Linked DNA regions of Rhinolophus ferrumequinum. The protein of the gene in region 2 purifies or fractionates together with the protein of the main gene of each other region. This does not show direct contact. Links are inferred from orthologs where the notes say so. Each region holds a gene or a part of one and is shown on either strand. Other genes may lie near its edges. The genes, in order: GFPT1 and GARS1.

The links.
Region 1: the proteins of GARS1 (region 2) and GFPT1 fractionate together in Homo sapiens (co-fractionation; 3 studies listed by BioGRID, with this or other methods). This does not show direct contact. The link is inferred for Rhinolophus ferrumequinum from reciprocal best matches to the Homo sapiens genes GARS1 and GFPT1.

The regions. Positions count from the first base shown.
Region 1 is NC_046296.1:21,409,953-21,417,519, reverse strand, and holds the start of GFPT1 (glutamine--fructose-6-phosphate aminotransferase [isomerizing] 1), read right to left. Parts: upstream 3,122-7,567; 5' UTR 2,935-3,121; coding exon 2,928-2,934; intron 1-2,927.
Region 2 is NC_046303.1:11,868,104-11,876,310, forward strand, and holds the start of GARS1 (glycine--tRNA ligase), read right to left. Parts: upstream 3,122-8,207; 5' UTR 2,946-3,121; coding exon 2,727-2,945; intron 1-2,726. UniProt on the Homo sapiens protein: Catalyzes the ATP-dependent ligation of glycine to the 3'-end of its cognate tRNA, via the formation of an aminoacyl-adenylate intermediate (Gly-AMP).

The DNA.
Region 1 (7,567 bases), on a different chromosome or scaffold from region 2:
GGGCAGAGTGCCAAGTACAAAAGCATCACCTCAAATATCTTCTAACACTTTTTAGGGACCTGAAATGTGAAGTCAAAAATTCCCAAACCACAGAAAGAGAACACTAGTTGCAGAATGCAAAGTAGGGATGAGGTTCCATAATAAAAGACGTAAGAAATACTGGGTTAAACAAAGTTAAAAGGTTTATTTGTAGGTCTTCCTAGAATCTTTAACCTTGCTAATTGCAAATCTCCAAAAGCAGAATTTCCCAAACTTTTGTGTTAATAAAACTCTTTCCCACCTTCTACTGTTCATTATCAGCACCTATTAACTTCTCCCTTTGCGGGGAACACAGTTGAGGAAATGCTTATTAAGCAATTAATTATTTTCTTTTACAACTACTTTATATCCAGCATGATCTCTAAAGATATGTTAATAGTACCATTTTATGACTTATCCTAGCAGCAAGTCTCAGCATCCCTCAATTACTCCCAAAGCCATTAGACAGTATAGTTACAAAAAACTTTTTAAGAATTCATTTCAGGATACTTTTAAATTGCAGCTCCCTCACTGCTTTTAAATATAATCCCATTTACAAAAACTCTATTTATATACACTAACATTTATTAAAAAAAAAAAAAGCAAAATCTGTTAAAAAAAAAAAAATGTGGGTACCTGAAGCAGCTTGACACTCTCTCACCAAAGGCAAAGGTAAAACAATTAAAAAAGAACTAGTGTAATTTCAAAGGATCAAGAATAAGAGGAAGATAAAATAAATTTGGAAAGCGGACACACTATTAGACTCTGGGAGGTTCACAACACTTATTAGCACATTAAATGTTCTATGAAGTCCTCCAATTAAAGAAACCAATTCAACATTGTGTAATCTGTTGCTCCCAAATTTACCTGACCATAGAATCTTTTTTTGTCTGATTAACACTTATTAACATCCCAATTCAACCTGGTAAACATTGTAACAGTTTAATCAGTGTATCAGATTGAAGAAAGGCAGATCTCAGAACCGGCTAGCCCTCATTATTCTGCTTCAACATTTTGCAATGTTGAAACAAAAAATCTTTTAGAAAAACCTGAATAGGCAGCAGGTAACCAGAAGTTAAATCTCTAAATTCTCCTATCGAATCTCATTCCCCACTCAATTTCTCTGCCTAGAAATTTTAATGATTAAAGATGTGGGAGGAAAACAAAGGCAAACTCTTGTCTTCACAATTAACCTTCAGAATTTACATTAGTTCAGGATATAAATTAGTTCAGGATCATATTCCTGGAATCATGAAAAACTCCGGTCTGAGTTAAAAGCAGGACCTCAGAAATGCCTCAAATACTAGTTCTTTCTTTATTATTTATAACCTGTCTGTTTTCTCAGCAATAAAACTCTGTGGCATAGGGATGTTGGCTAAGTGAAAATTCTCAACATCTAGTCTCCATCCTGCAAGCCCCACTCTACTCTGCACCTTTTCCAAACCAGATCAGATATTTTCTTTTATAATACTTTGACTTCCTTTTTCCTGGAACAAGATGAAGAAATGACCTGTAACCTGAAAGCTAGGTGCTTAATCAGGCACACACCTCATGATTCAGGAACAATTAATTACCAAATGGAGCAAACTGAGGATTAAACAGTTTGCAAATTCACTACTTCACAGCTCCAAATCATATTATGTGTTTTGTAAAACCACTCTACTAACTGGACATAGCAAAAATACAGTATATCTGATTCTAAAGTGAGCAACACTAATAATTTCAGCAAGCTGTTCATAGGTGTTTCTGTTTCTGCTTTTTAATCTACTCTAAATTTAAACCTGCTCCTCCTTTTCAGAAGCTGAAATTAGCATAATGTTAAATACAGGAAAAATATACACTAATGAGAACAAGCCACCTCCAGCTCAGTTCTTTTGCAAAAGGCTACAAAGAATAAGTTTCCCAGATAGTTTAAATTCTATTAAAGTCATTATTTCCCTTTAAAAAGTGTTTTTTATTCTTCCAGGAGTAAGGTCAGTTGTAAATTTCATTAAGGTAAGAATAGAATTCTTTATACTGACAATGGCCAAGTTAATACCAATTTTAGTGCATATCAGTCATTCCAAATATATTTCTGACAATCCCTTTTAGCTAACACTTTTAGGTAATATTGAAACAACTAAGTCTCAAAACAAGAGGCTAAACTTTATGTTTTAAATGTTCTAGGTAAAACAGTCATTAAATGTAGACCAATATTTTCCCTAGGTAAGTCTTTTTAAGTGGGTGCACATGCAAGTGATCAATGATGTATGATCTATCGCCACGGTCACTTCTGGGCGGCTTCCACAGAGGATCAGTAAAGCCCATTCACCAAGTTATTGATTGGCAATGGTTTCTGTTGAGACAGGGTGGAAGAAATAAGATCATGTGTAATGCCATTGTCTTAGCTCTAGTTATAATTCTGTTTTCTATTGGGCCTGACCGAAAGAAAGCAACTAAAAATAAATATTTTTAAAAAGGTAAATACTAGAAGAATACAAGATAAGTCCAAGAGTCCTCACCTGATGTTCCACAGGTTGCCTCACCTGGTAGACTCTTGTGAAGACACCTCCCTCCGCACCTCAATTCCCTCAACCAATACAAACAATCCCCTTTCCCGATACAAGGAAAAGGGGTTCCCTTCTTTTCTTGGTTCCCTTCTTCGCGCAAAACCGCCCCTTGCGGCCCCCCAGGTCCTCTATAGGGCCCGCCCTCCTCTCAGGTGCCTTCCTAAATCCACCACCCACCTCCAGCTCTTAGTGACCGGCCCCCACCCCCAGTACCAGCAGCCACCCCGGGACGCTCCCCGCCCACCATCCAGACTTCGCACCCTCCACACTCCCGCTCCCTCCCGTGCCTCAGGCCTCAGCGGCGCCCGCACCGCACCCCAGCACCACCCCGCAACACGCCCCCCGCCCGCGGCCCCTTACCGCACATGATGCAGGAGGCACAGTCCGCAAGGCGAGTGGCGAACGGCTGGCAAGATCGGGAGCGCACACGAGCCTGTGGGGCGATCGGCGGGGTTGGAGGCCAGTGGGGCACCGACGAGATTCCCTCCGGGATGCGACAGCCTGGGTAACGACTGCCTCCTGGGCCTCCCGGGCTCGCCAGCAACTGCCTCCTGGCTCCGCCCCTCAGCGCGCACCGCGCCGCCGCCGCCGCCGTCCGCAGATCTCATTGGGTCACGTCCGCGCTGCTCACGCGCAGATCCCGCCTCCCCGCACCGCCCCGCCCCGCCCTTCCCCGGAGCCCACGCAGGCGCTGGCCTGCTGGCTGCGAAGACGTGGCAGCGGCTCGTGGCCGCATCCGCTTGGGGTTCCTGGAGCCGCCCAGCCCTTGGGCGAGCAACGGGAGGGATAGCGCAGCGGGAGAGGAATAAACTAGGTGGCTGGCAGGGGATGTCGGAAAGATAAGGAAAGAGTAGAATGGAATTGTTAGCAAAGCAAATAGCGTTGGAGCGCGCGCCTAGTGCAGTCCAAGGCCCCAAGGTCCGGCACCCCACGAAGCGGGGAAAGAGGAGGAAGAAAGCAGGAGGCCTGATAAGAGGATCCTGAGGCACAACAAATCAGAGTGGGAAAGGGACATAGGCCGAAGGAAAAAATGCAAAGAATTGAGATGAGAGATACCAAAATTCTTGATTGCAAAACTCCATGCAGTTTCGGTTAGTCTTTCTGGTGATAGGCAATTCAGTTCTGGACTTAGGCTCTATTGTAATATAGTTGGCTTCTAGAATCCCTCGGGCACCCGATCCGCCCCCCCCATCCATTGCCTCCCTAACCCCCAGTTTTGTTTTTTGCAGAGGGGCAGGAGGGGAGACTTCTGCTCCCCCACCTGAGAGGACTAGGAATTGCCTAGATTTGACAGCCTGACGTTTGACTCATGAACGATTAATCAATTCTATTAATGTACCATTCCTGCCAAAAGAAACTTAATCAAAGAGAGATGATGTTTCTGAGAATTTATTACCTGAGCATTTGCTTTAGGAAGATTTAAATGGTTTCTTTTGTCAAATATAGGTGGTTACTGTAGCTCTATTAATGATTCTAGGATAGAATCAAGTAAAAACTTGTATGGCACACAGAACATGGCATGGACTTCTGACCCCAGATGTGTCATCTTAGCTCACACTACTGCTCTCTTCCTACCCCAAATTCCATCCCTTTACACTCCAACAACACTCAACAGATAGTTTGAGAATTGGGCAAACATTCTCAAGTCTTTTGCACACATTGGGTACACTTCATGAAATCCCTACCCATCTCTACTTAAATGCTACCTCCTAGGGAAAACCTTTTTTTTTTTTTTATCTCCCCCAGACAGACTTAAACACATGCATTAACTGCTCATTCTTTGCGCTTCCCCCTTTAAAGTAATATGCTTTGATATTTTATTTTTTGTACATTTCCCTATTAGGCTAAGTTTCTTGAGGCTAGAACAAGTCTTAGCATACCCAACACCTAGTATAAACCCTAGCATAAAATAAGGGATCAAAAATGCTTTTGAGTGAGTGGAGAAAAGTCAAATGTTCTTAGCAGAATTGACTTTCTATGGCTAGTTATATGATCAAATGAGCAAAGGACTTTTCAGTTTTTTCTTAGAGGGAAAAAAATGCCTTTTTACCACTGGCCTCAAAAAGAGGCCAAGAAATGTCACATTTAACTAATAAAAGTATTTCAAAAATTTAAGTCTTTTAGTATTTCAGGACTTTAAACATGTTCTTAAATCACTCAGAGCAAAGTTTAAAAACAAAAACAAACAACAGTGAGCTGTTAGATAGTAGACAACATGTTTCTTAATTCAAGAGGCAAAGTCTCTGTGGATATACATCTTAACCTCAAAACCCTCATCTAAGAGTTTCTGGTAAAACCTCAGTGACATTGCCAAAGAGTCAAAGTATGAGTCCAATATTTGAGCAATACCTTTGTGCACTGCCAGAAACTACCTGTCAATGCTACAAAGAGAATGCCCGCAGTACTACCAAAGTTATCATGCTCAAACTATAATAATCTATTGTCCTCCTGGCTTTCCTCTTCTGTTTGTTACTCCATCATGACTGTCAGTTTGTCGTGTCCATCTCCATTCTACAGCTATTTTTGGAAGGTGCTTATGTACCAGTTGAGAGGAAGAAACTTTGAAGGCTCATAATCCCCAACAATTAGTAGACACAGACCAAGGGAGAAGTCTCAAGACTGAAAATCTACTTCCATAAGCAGAGGGCTGGGAAAAACTGAAGCAAGAGGCTGGCCACTCCAGTCTGGCAATTAATAGAATTTATTACGGGAAATTTACATACAAGGCATGTCTTGGGTGGCTGCAAGACAAAATGGATCCCCACACCGCTTGGCAGGTGCCAGAGAATTATACAGGGTAAAAAGGCGAAATATAGTACGTGAATGCGACCAGGTACTGGAAATTACATGCTTGACCAGTTCAGGACAACAACCTGTTCCAGAAACCAGCACATAGCAGGAGGCAAGGAAGGGGTGCTGATTTATGTCAGAATGAACATCAATTACAATCAGACAGTCTGTAAGGGGGATTTGAGGAAAGCAACTCAGTCCTGGCCTGGATCCAGCTTGCGGTACAGTGGCACATCGCACAACAGTCTCTCCTCCACACTCCATCCCTCATGACCAGCTCTTATAATCTCATACGCCTCTCCCCCCATTCCAGAAAGAGCCCTGAGTGGTCAGTGAGGAACTTCAGTAGCAGGGAAGTAGCTTGCTTACTCGCCCATTGACTGCATTGGAGATACAGTTGGCAGCACATACAAAAAGAAATTAAAAGAAGCAGTCAAGGTATGAGTAACAATTATTTCCAACCTGCCTCCCACCCCCACCCGCCACCCCCCAGGGCCCAAACCAGTGGGTTACTGGGTCACCTAGGCTTGAGGCCAGATCGTTTAACACATTTACTTGAGTTTTCATATGTGCTAACAAAGAAGAAATATTAACAGATTCATCTAGTAGAAAAACACATTTAGTTTGGATGATGACACAGGTTCCCTTCCCCACTCCTGGAACTGGATGCACAGGAACAACAGAAGTCTAAGATCAGAAAGATAAATATTTGGTAGGGACTTAAATTGGGAGATCGTCTCCTTCGGTGAGAATTACATTTGCAGCCTGATCCTTAGATGGTAATGTGGCCGTAGTCTGTGGAACCCGGCCAGGCTGTGTAAACCGTATTTGTTGGCCAGGAGGAAGTGGTGCTGTGTGGCCTCAGGAGGTGAATAGGAAGGGGAGTGTATCAGACTAGGACCGCTACCATCCCCTCTTCCAATGGTGCATGTACCGGTCCACATATATGAGTATATAGCATGTCTCCATGGGTCCTGACTGCATTAGGCTGACAAGGTCCCCCCGGGACTGAGCAGTTCTTCCCCACCCAGGGCCATGAACTAACGGACCCATCCCACATGAAAATCCCATTGCAGATTCCAGTAAATGGTCCCTGTTCCAAGGACAATAGGGATTGGTGCCCTCATTATCATAGGTTGGTTCATGGTAAGCGTTGGGACTATTGCTGTCCTTTGTTCTCCATACCTTTACCATACTGGGTGCCTCAGCCTGAGTTCCCAGCCTGGCATAGGGAGCAATAGGCCTCGTGGGTTGGTCATTTAAATGTATTAACACTGGGAAAGCACCTTCGTCCACCTAGTCAAAGTAGGTTTTCCAATCAATACCTTGTCTATTGTTTAAGGACAGCATTTTTCCAATTCCACCAACCCAGCTGCCTGTGGGCTTATGTGGGACATGAAAACTCCACTCAATAACTACATTTACCAGGTCACTATATTTTAAAGCCAGCTCTGCCTCCTTAGCTGTGCACCATCCGACTTGGACACTATGGTGCCCACTCTTCTGGTGTACCCATTCTGTAGTGCCAACGGATGGGTCAGTTGCTAAAGCACCTATTTTTGCCAGGGCACCTTCTCCCTGGTTACCTGGAGCTGTAGATGCCTTATGGGCAGAGACATGGAAAACAACAAGATTGGTCTCAGGCTTTTGTAAGCGAACCCAAATATCCTTCCGCATCTCTTGTTCCCATAAAGATTTGTTCATAATCAGTCAACTCTTCATGTTCATTGTCGAAGCCATAGTCAATCCCTTTAAAATGGCCCAACTGTCAGTAAACAGGACAGTAGCCACGGTTTATATGTGATTATAAACCCACTGACCACTGTGATTTGTTCCTGTTCCCATGCAGATGGTATCAGGGGATGATTGGATTACAACTGCCATACAGGTGGGCGATTGCCCCACCTAGCACCCTCAGTATACCAAGCTCTAGAAAGAACTTCCCATTTCTTCTTGCAGGTTGCAGGGAATGACACAGGGATAGGAGCAGGAGCATTTGGAGGGTCTATATATTCAACAGGGTCTAGTAATTGCTGCATCTCTGAAGACAGGACTCTGACAGAGTACTCCTCTGCTGTAGGTAGGCAGGCCTCTTAGTTAGCATAGGAGTCTGGGCCATGGCAGAGGCATATGGTAGAACACGTTGTCTATCTGCCCCTTGATGAGAAGGGAAGTTCTTACTGTAACTGCCTGCTCTTTGGCAAGACTCC
Region 2 (8,207 bases):
CAGTCATACAAATGTTTTCCCTGAAACAGTCATCATATTTCAATATGCTTTATGCATACTTCCCATTTTGTCACACGGAAAATTAAAATGATGGATGAAAACAGGTCTGGATTTAATAAAATTAATAATTTTTACTGCTCCGTCAAGGACACTCTACAGCAAAACTTCTTGTTTTCTTTTTTCACTGTTCTGTTGGAGTGCGATGAGGAATCCAGTGACTTAGCTTGGTGTCCCTCACTTGATCAGTGCTAAAGGCAGGCAGTTTTACCCATCAGTGCAAATGTGAACACAGTGCAAAAGGAAAATAGCATCTTATTATAAAAATGGCTTTGACCTTGGGGACTTCTAAGGATTTGCTGACCACAATTTGAGACCAGTGCCCTAGAGCAATAGATCCAAAACAAGACACTGCAGAACAGAAGTTTCATTACTATATGGTTAAAAAAAAAAAAAGTATTAGATCTTTTTTCAAAGCTAAACCTACTCAACATAAATAACTTCTTTATTCTGACTTACGGTCTGCCTTTTTTTCTTATATATTAAAATATCCTTTTTTTAATGAAATGAAACACGAATTCAGGTGGCAGTTTGATGCCTGTACTCATTTTTTAAATGTCCTTATTTGGCAAAATAAAAGCTGGCCACCCTATGCTAATTCCTAATATTTTAAAAACTAAATTGTCCTATAGTGCCCTCATCAAACAACTAATGCAGTTTTCCTGATATTCTGAAGCCCTCCTACAAGTTTCTAACTAATCCTCCAAGAAATACCTAGGAATATGCCATGGGAAAATATGTCAGTCAATCAACAAACCAAACCTTTAAAAGCGACAGCATCTACACAGCCCAGTCAATTACCAAATTAATACAAAACACGTATTTGTCGGAAACACATCCCACCAACAAGACCAGTTGTTAAGCACCTTAAAATTCCCACTCCAAGGATGTCTTCAATTGCATACACTTCACAATGGAAATATGCAAAATGGAGAGATGGGACAGTATGTCTCATTTCCTCATAAGCAAAAACCAAAATGGGTTTACCTAGAAGTCTTTAAATCCCTTCCAGTGTGATTTAAAGTTCATATATGTGTGGTCCTAGAAAATTAGAAAAAGAACGTGAACTAACTTACATAAACTAACTTACATATTCAGAAAATACCTTAAAGTACAGAAAAAATTAACAAACAAGCCAACATAAACAATACAGGAGATAGTCATGGCATGGGGAGGTTGTTCCTCCATCAAAGTTAACTACTTCCCCAGTTCTGACTACAGATGAGTAATTTGCACTCCACTTCCAGACTAACGTGGCAGAGGGAGGGGTTTGGGCATGTGCTTTGGTTTTTTTCTTTTCTTTTTTTTTTCAATTAGATGTAGGACATGAAAGTGAAGGACATGACAAAAAAATTGAGAGTCACAGAAAAGACAAAGGGACCACACCTAATTTTATTTGGGGACCGTGGGTGTAGAGAGACGGACAATAAGCATACACAGAGTCCTGATAATAATGAAAAAAATTAAGCCCATAGTGAAATTGCAAAATAAAACACTACTGACTCAGTCAGGTTCACAATAGCAAGAAGTAGACATTGCAAAGTGGCAGGATTTGCTGGATTTGTAGCAGCTCTACCCAATGAATTATTGCTGAGAGAGGGTTCCACCCTCTGTAGCTAAGGCAAGTTATTGCATCAGGCGCCCGTGCAGGAGAAACTCGTTTCATGTTTACTACGAAGTCATCGATCCCCGGGCTCCTATTCCAAGCTTCTGGCTCTACCTGACTGGATGTGAAAATTCATCTGAAATAATCCTTTCCTCGTCCTCTCTAAATTCAGTTATCCACGCAGTGCCCTAGGAAAAGCGGGCCTGTACAAATCACCAAGTCCTCCAGCCATAAAACGTCCCTCCCTTCCGCAAAATCAAATTTCGAAATGTTCCAAACGAAGGATGGCTGACTTCACCGAGTAACATTTACGGTTTCCCAGGTTTACGATCTGAAACTCACTCATTCCAAGTGGCCCTTTCGGAAACCAGAAAAAAATGACAGGAGCGAAGGATGAAGAACTCACATCATTATTAGAAGGGGAAAAAAGAAAAGTTCAACACACCCCCACATCCACGTTTCAACTCTGTCTTTTCTCAGCCGGTCGTTCGGCAAACTAAGCACTGCCTGAAGGAAGGTGTCAAGGAGGAAACACCACGCGAAGCATCCCGAAGAGCCGGGCTGTGAGAGGAGAGAAGCCGTAGCTTCGGCTCGTGACTGACCAGGGAAGAATTAGGAACCTCGGCACCCAGGGTGCACAAAGATCACAGCGGAGGCTGGAAAAGCGAAGTTGAGGTTACTGAGCTAGGACAGGAGGAGAAGCAAAGGGTCACTGATCGCAACGCCATCGGGGAGAGAGCAGGCGCGGGCAGTAACAAAGATGGGGAAAGGAGGACAGATCGCGAGCGAGCGAGGGATGCAGTTGTCCCAGGGGATCCGAGGGAGTCCCCCAAGATGAGGGAAGGACGGCGGTCCGTGGGAGGGAAGGTGGCCGACGCACCCGAGGACCTGGGTCCAAAGTGGCGGAGGCGAGGAAGATGCCAGGAAACCAAGGGCTTCCAGAGAATGAAGGCGAGGGGTCACGGCCAGGTGGACGGGTGCCCGGGGAGAAAGAGGACAGGATACAGGACGGGAGGGTTGCGGGCAGCGCCCGGGCCAGAGGGAAGGCGCAGAATGCCGGTACCTGCTGGCGCACGGCGAGCCTGAGAGGTGCCAGCACCTCCTCAGCCCCGGCGCCGTCCATGCTGCTCCGGGAGGCGGCGGAGAATAAGGTCGGGGCGGGGGCGCGCGTGCTGAGGGGCCGGCGAGGCAGGAGCGGTGGCCGGGCCGGGAGCCGGGCTGGCAGCGACAGCAGCAGAGCGGCGCTGGCGGCTCTAAGCAGCGCCCGGCGCGGAAAGGGCATGAGCCGGCGGCCCTGGGCGGCGCGGAGACTTCGGCGGCGGAAGCGGCGCGCGCCGCCGGGCCCCGAGCATGATGAAATCGCCGCGTAAACGCCGCGGCGCGCGCGCAGCCGCACATTCCACACGCCGCAACGCGGCACCGGCTCGCCGCCAGCAGATTCGACACAGAACCCCGGAAGAACCCGGGATCCTTCGGCGCTCCGGGAGGGCTAGCCCCACCCGGGACGCCCGGGAGGGCTGCGGGGTCGCAGGTAGCCCCCTGCCAACAGCGTTGCAAAATGATGCCTCCGGCCACCCCGAGGGTGGACGTTCAAGGACACAGCTCCATTCGAGACGTGCAAACTGAAACTCACGCGGACCTTCAATGCATAGGCTTGTACACGGGCGGGCGCTGACACGGCTGACACACTGGGAAACACACTACTGTTTCTGTTCTTTTGCCCCGTAGGCCTGAAAGGGTCTTAAAACATCAAATCTGATGGGGGCTTACATTCAATGTTGCTCAAGCTCAGATGTTTCTCAGATGAGGAAACAGGGCAAGAGGGTTTAATGACTTGCCCATCTTCACACATCCACGCCTTGCCAACGTCAAGACAAAAGCTGGGGAAAGGGAGAGGAGGAGTGACGGACTTTTGGGAGATCAGTGCTGATCAGCCTTTGCAGGGTGAGCAGGATTTGAACCAGCAGGAATGAGGAAAAGAAAGAGGCAAAGGGACGAGAAAAAGCAGGGAAACATGATAAAGCAGGGCAGTGAAGAGGAGCTACCTCAGCGGACCTGCCTATTGGGGATGGCTCCCTTCCTCCCTCCTGTCCCAAGTGTGGGTTAGCTGGACAGCTGGATTCCCTTTGCAGAGAGGGAATAGAAAAATAAAAAATGTGTTGGTTAGTAAAATAGCATCGCCAAGAGAAGGCCTAAAATGAAAATGATGGGAAATGCCAAGGGATGCACGAGGGCTCTCCTGCACTGAGAAGAGGGTCAACGGGAGAAGCGACAATTGGAGACCGGTTGGACAGCCATACACACCTTCCCTGTGACCAACAGTGCCACCCAGGAGTGTACACCAGCAGACAGGCTCACCAGAAGGACGACCTTCCCCAGTAGTAGGAAAGTCCATGTTACTTTTCTGTCTGTTCCAATTTGTAGAATCGCACTTTGTGAAAAGTATTCGCAATTTAGCATCAGCAGGGAGGGTGGCTGAAGAACCTTTTGCAATATGAAACAATTTGTATTTTTAAAACTTTTATTTCGAGATTTGATATTTTATTCATCCTAATTTTTCTTTGGCTTTGCTTCAATCGGTAATTTTTCATTTATCTTAATATTTTTAAATATGAAAACCGATCTTAATTTTTATATCTGCTCTTATTTACATTGTTACTAAAACATATTCAAAGTCTGTATCCTTTGACTCCAGTTATATATTTTTTAATTCTTTAGATCAATACTGTCTCCCATGTTCGTGTGACGACAGTCCTATCACTGGTCTCCCAATCCGTTCTTCCCCCGTCCAGTCCGCCCTCCCCACTGCTGCCTCAGTGATTATTTCTAAAAGGCAGAGCGGTGGCACGTTACAACTCTGCTCAGGATGCTTCACTAGGTCTATGTGGCTCTTAGCAGAATTTCCTGCGTCGTTTTCCTTAGAAAACTACCTCTGCAGACAATAATAATAGCTTATAAATGTTGAGGGCTTACTGTGCACGAGTTAGTATTATAAGTTATGTAATTTATTTACCAATCTAATGAGATAGGTTCCATAATAATACCCATTTTACAGAGTCGGGATTCAAGGCACCAAGCTATCAAACACCTTGTCCACAGTCACGCAACTACCACGTGAGCAGCGGGCCAGAATGTGAGCGGGGGGCAGAGGCAGCTGTACCATGTAGCTAATGAAACCACTGAAGCTGTAAGTGAGCTTCAGGGACCCTCATTTGGGTGGGCTCTTTCAGGACCCACGACAGGCCCTAGCATTGTCATACATGGTCATAGTTTTTTTTTCTTTTCTTATGAAAGTTCTTTTCTTTATTTGAAGAACGAACTTTGTGCCTACATTGAGATGTACAAATCTTAAGTGTGCATTTCAAAGGATTTTGATAAAGGAATACCCTCTTATAACCCATGCCTCAATCAAGATAGAGCATTTCCCTCAATTCACAGAGTTCCTCCTGTCTCTTCCTACAGACACACAGGAGGGCTGCCATGTGAAGACAGTGACACAGCTGTGACCCCAGGAACAGCAAGGGTTGGCGGCCACCACCAAAGTGAGGAAGAGGCAAGAAAGGATTCTGGATTCTATCCAGAGTCCCAGAGGCAGCCTGGTCCTCCTGACACCTTGACTGTGGGCTTCTAGCGTCCTTAACTGTGAGAGGATACATTTCTATTGTTTTAAGCTACTGGTTTGTGGTACTTTGTTACAACAGGCCTAGGAAACTAATATAAAGAGCATGGTTATTTTTTCATCCTCTCAATCTTTATTCTTTCTGATTATAAAAAAAAATACTTGCTCCTTGGAAAATTTCAAATATTACAGCAATATATAACTTGGAAATTGAGAGACAGAGAGGGAAAGAATAAGGAGGGAAGGGGCCTTATAGTTTTTAAATATATAGAATGTATCTGTGTTACTTGCATTGTTTTACAGAGTGAATAACCGCTGCATTTTGAAAATATTTTGAAGTGGTATAATATGGAAAGTCCTTCAAAATCGAGTATCTCCGTGATAAACACTATTTTAGCTGGGTCCACAATTTGTACTATTTCTAAGCAAAGCCAAGTCCATTTCACATACATACATAATTTCCTACATAAGTTAGGGAGGACTCCTTCTCTCTCATCTGCTCTTTCTGTGCTCTATTTCCCTCTGTTGTTCTCTTTCTCCTTTCCAGAAGCTTCCAACAGTTAACCCACTCCTTAACTCCTTTGAGTTCTAGCCAATGGAACATGATTGCACTTGCCGCCACCACTTCCCAGCCTGGCCTATATGAACTCCCATGTGTCACCCTCCATGCTGTTCCCTTTGCTGCTGGCTGGAAATCGATGTCCCTGTGTTAAAGATGGCAGAGCCTGGTTCCTGAGTGACGATGTGGAACAGAGCCCATTGCCACACCCCTTTCCGATAAGCTCTTTGAACTGGTGACATGAGTGAACAGTACATTTCCATTGTGTTTAAGCTATTATACATGCTGATGTTTGTCAGAGCAGCGAGCTTGCCCTAACTACTCCACGAACACAGGGCCGTGTATGAGAAAGGTGGGGGGGATATCTGGGACACGGGAAGAGGGCGAGGGTGACATGAGCAGCTGATCGGCCAAAGTTCTGTTTATACATAACCTTTTCAGGAGTGCGGAGTTAGGCAAGGCGGGGCTCACTCCCACAGGCTGATGGGGAATTATCCAGAGTGAGTGGACTGACTGGTGGGCCCTGGGCCACTTCCCTGGGTGAGCACCTCTCCAGCTTTCTGATGCCTCTACTTGAAGTCAGGTACCCACCCCTTCTCCTTCTCCTGCTGCTTGTCCTTCGAGCTAAGGTGTGTGCAGAGTTCCCAGGAGCTGGTTTTCTTCCAGCCCACACCTCCAGGATTCTAAGGGATGCTTCCCAGACTTGGTGTGGATGGGAAGACGTCACACGCCTCGTCCCAGCTCCTCCTGTAACTCTCTGGCCTCAGTCTCCCCTTCTGAACATGGGGGGGACTACACCTGACCTCTAGCCCCTTCCAACTCTCACTATGGGTTTGTGAATTTGTGACTTAGGGAAGAAAATCTCTAAATGGAAAGAGAACAGGTTTCTATCTGTCCAGCAGAGGGGAGCAGCTCCCCACAAACCAGCTCCCAGGCAGAGAGTGCTGTGCAGGGGTGCTTGCAGGCCTGGCCTTCAGAGGGTTGCTAAGCAGAAAGATGTTTGCACACAGGAGCCATATCCCCTTACAAACTGTCCAATCCCATGTCCCTCAGAACTTCCTGATTAGCACGGTTTCCTGATGGTCACCTTACCTGGACAAGTTCCGGTTGATAAACTCCCCCTTCATCAGGGACCAAGACTGGACATGATACACCTGGTGGATGTTCTAACCAGAATCAAGGGAGCAAGACCATTTCACGACCTTTGATGACGTGACCTGAGACCCTTTGAAGGACTGTGACTGTTGTGACTCCAGGGTGGGGATGAGAGATGATGGGTTCTTCGGCCACCAGGAACCCTTCCACGGGTACAGGGGTGTGGTGTGAGGATGATAAACCGCCTGCTGGAAGAAGGGATAGTATCCATTCAGGGACTCAAGCCAGAATTTTTCATTCTGAACTTGACATCTTTCTCTCCTTTACCCACTAAATACAGTTCTTGCCTATTTTATTTATCTCCAAGCCTCTCTCAACTCTGTTTCCCCTCTCCCCCACCTCCTTCATTTCTTACCTGGATCCCTGCAATCCTAGCTCCTTGCTATACTTACAGTGAGCGTCCCAATTTGGAAATGTGATCATGTGACACACACACGCACACAGAGCCTACCCATGACTTCCATACCCCTCGAGATAAAGTCTGCTCTCCCCATAGCCTACCTCTCGGTCTCCCTCTGGCCAGTCTCCCACACTCTGTGATCCAGCCTTACTGACCTACAGGGCGTGTGGCCTTTGGCCTTTGGCCTCTGCACAGACTCATGCCTCTATCTGGAACCTACTTTCATCTCTATCATCCCTCTCCCACATCACCCCCAAACCTCCTCAGTCCCTTCCACCTGGCTTATGCCTTATATAGGGCAGGGTTCTTGGATACAAACAAGAGCCCATTCGGGCTAGTTCAAGTGACAGGACATCTGTTGGAGGGACAGCTGGGAGACTCCAGAGTGAATGGAAGCTTGGGGGCCAGGCTGAAGAATGCTCAGACCTGAGACAGCTCTGAATGGCCAAGAAGCAGAGAGCGGTGTATTAATTAGGAATTGCATTTGGCTACAAGTAACAGCGACATGAAAAACAGAGGCATAACAACACAGGGCTCTACTTTTCTCTCATCCAAAAAGAAGTGCAAAGGCGAGAAATCCAGGGCAGGTGCAAGGCATAAGGATATAGGGGCTGAGTTCTCTGAGCTTCTCTTGGCTTTTCCCTCAGGGCTAGTTCAAGATGGCTGATGAACTGCCAACCACTAGGCTCACTTCTCAGGCAGGAAGGATAAAGAAAGGAAACTGCCCCCCTCCTCAGAAGCCCTCCCAGAAGCCCCCTCAACAATGTCTGTTGACATCTCATCGACTAGAACTGGGTCATGGTGTGATGAT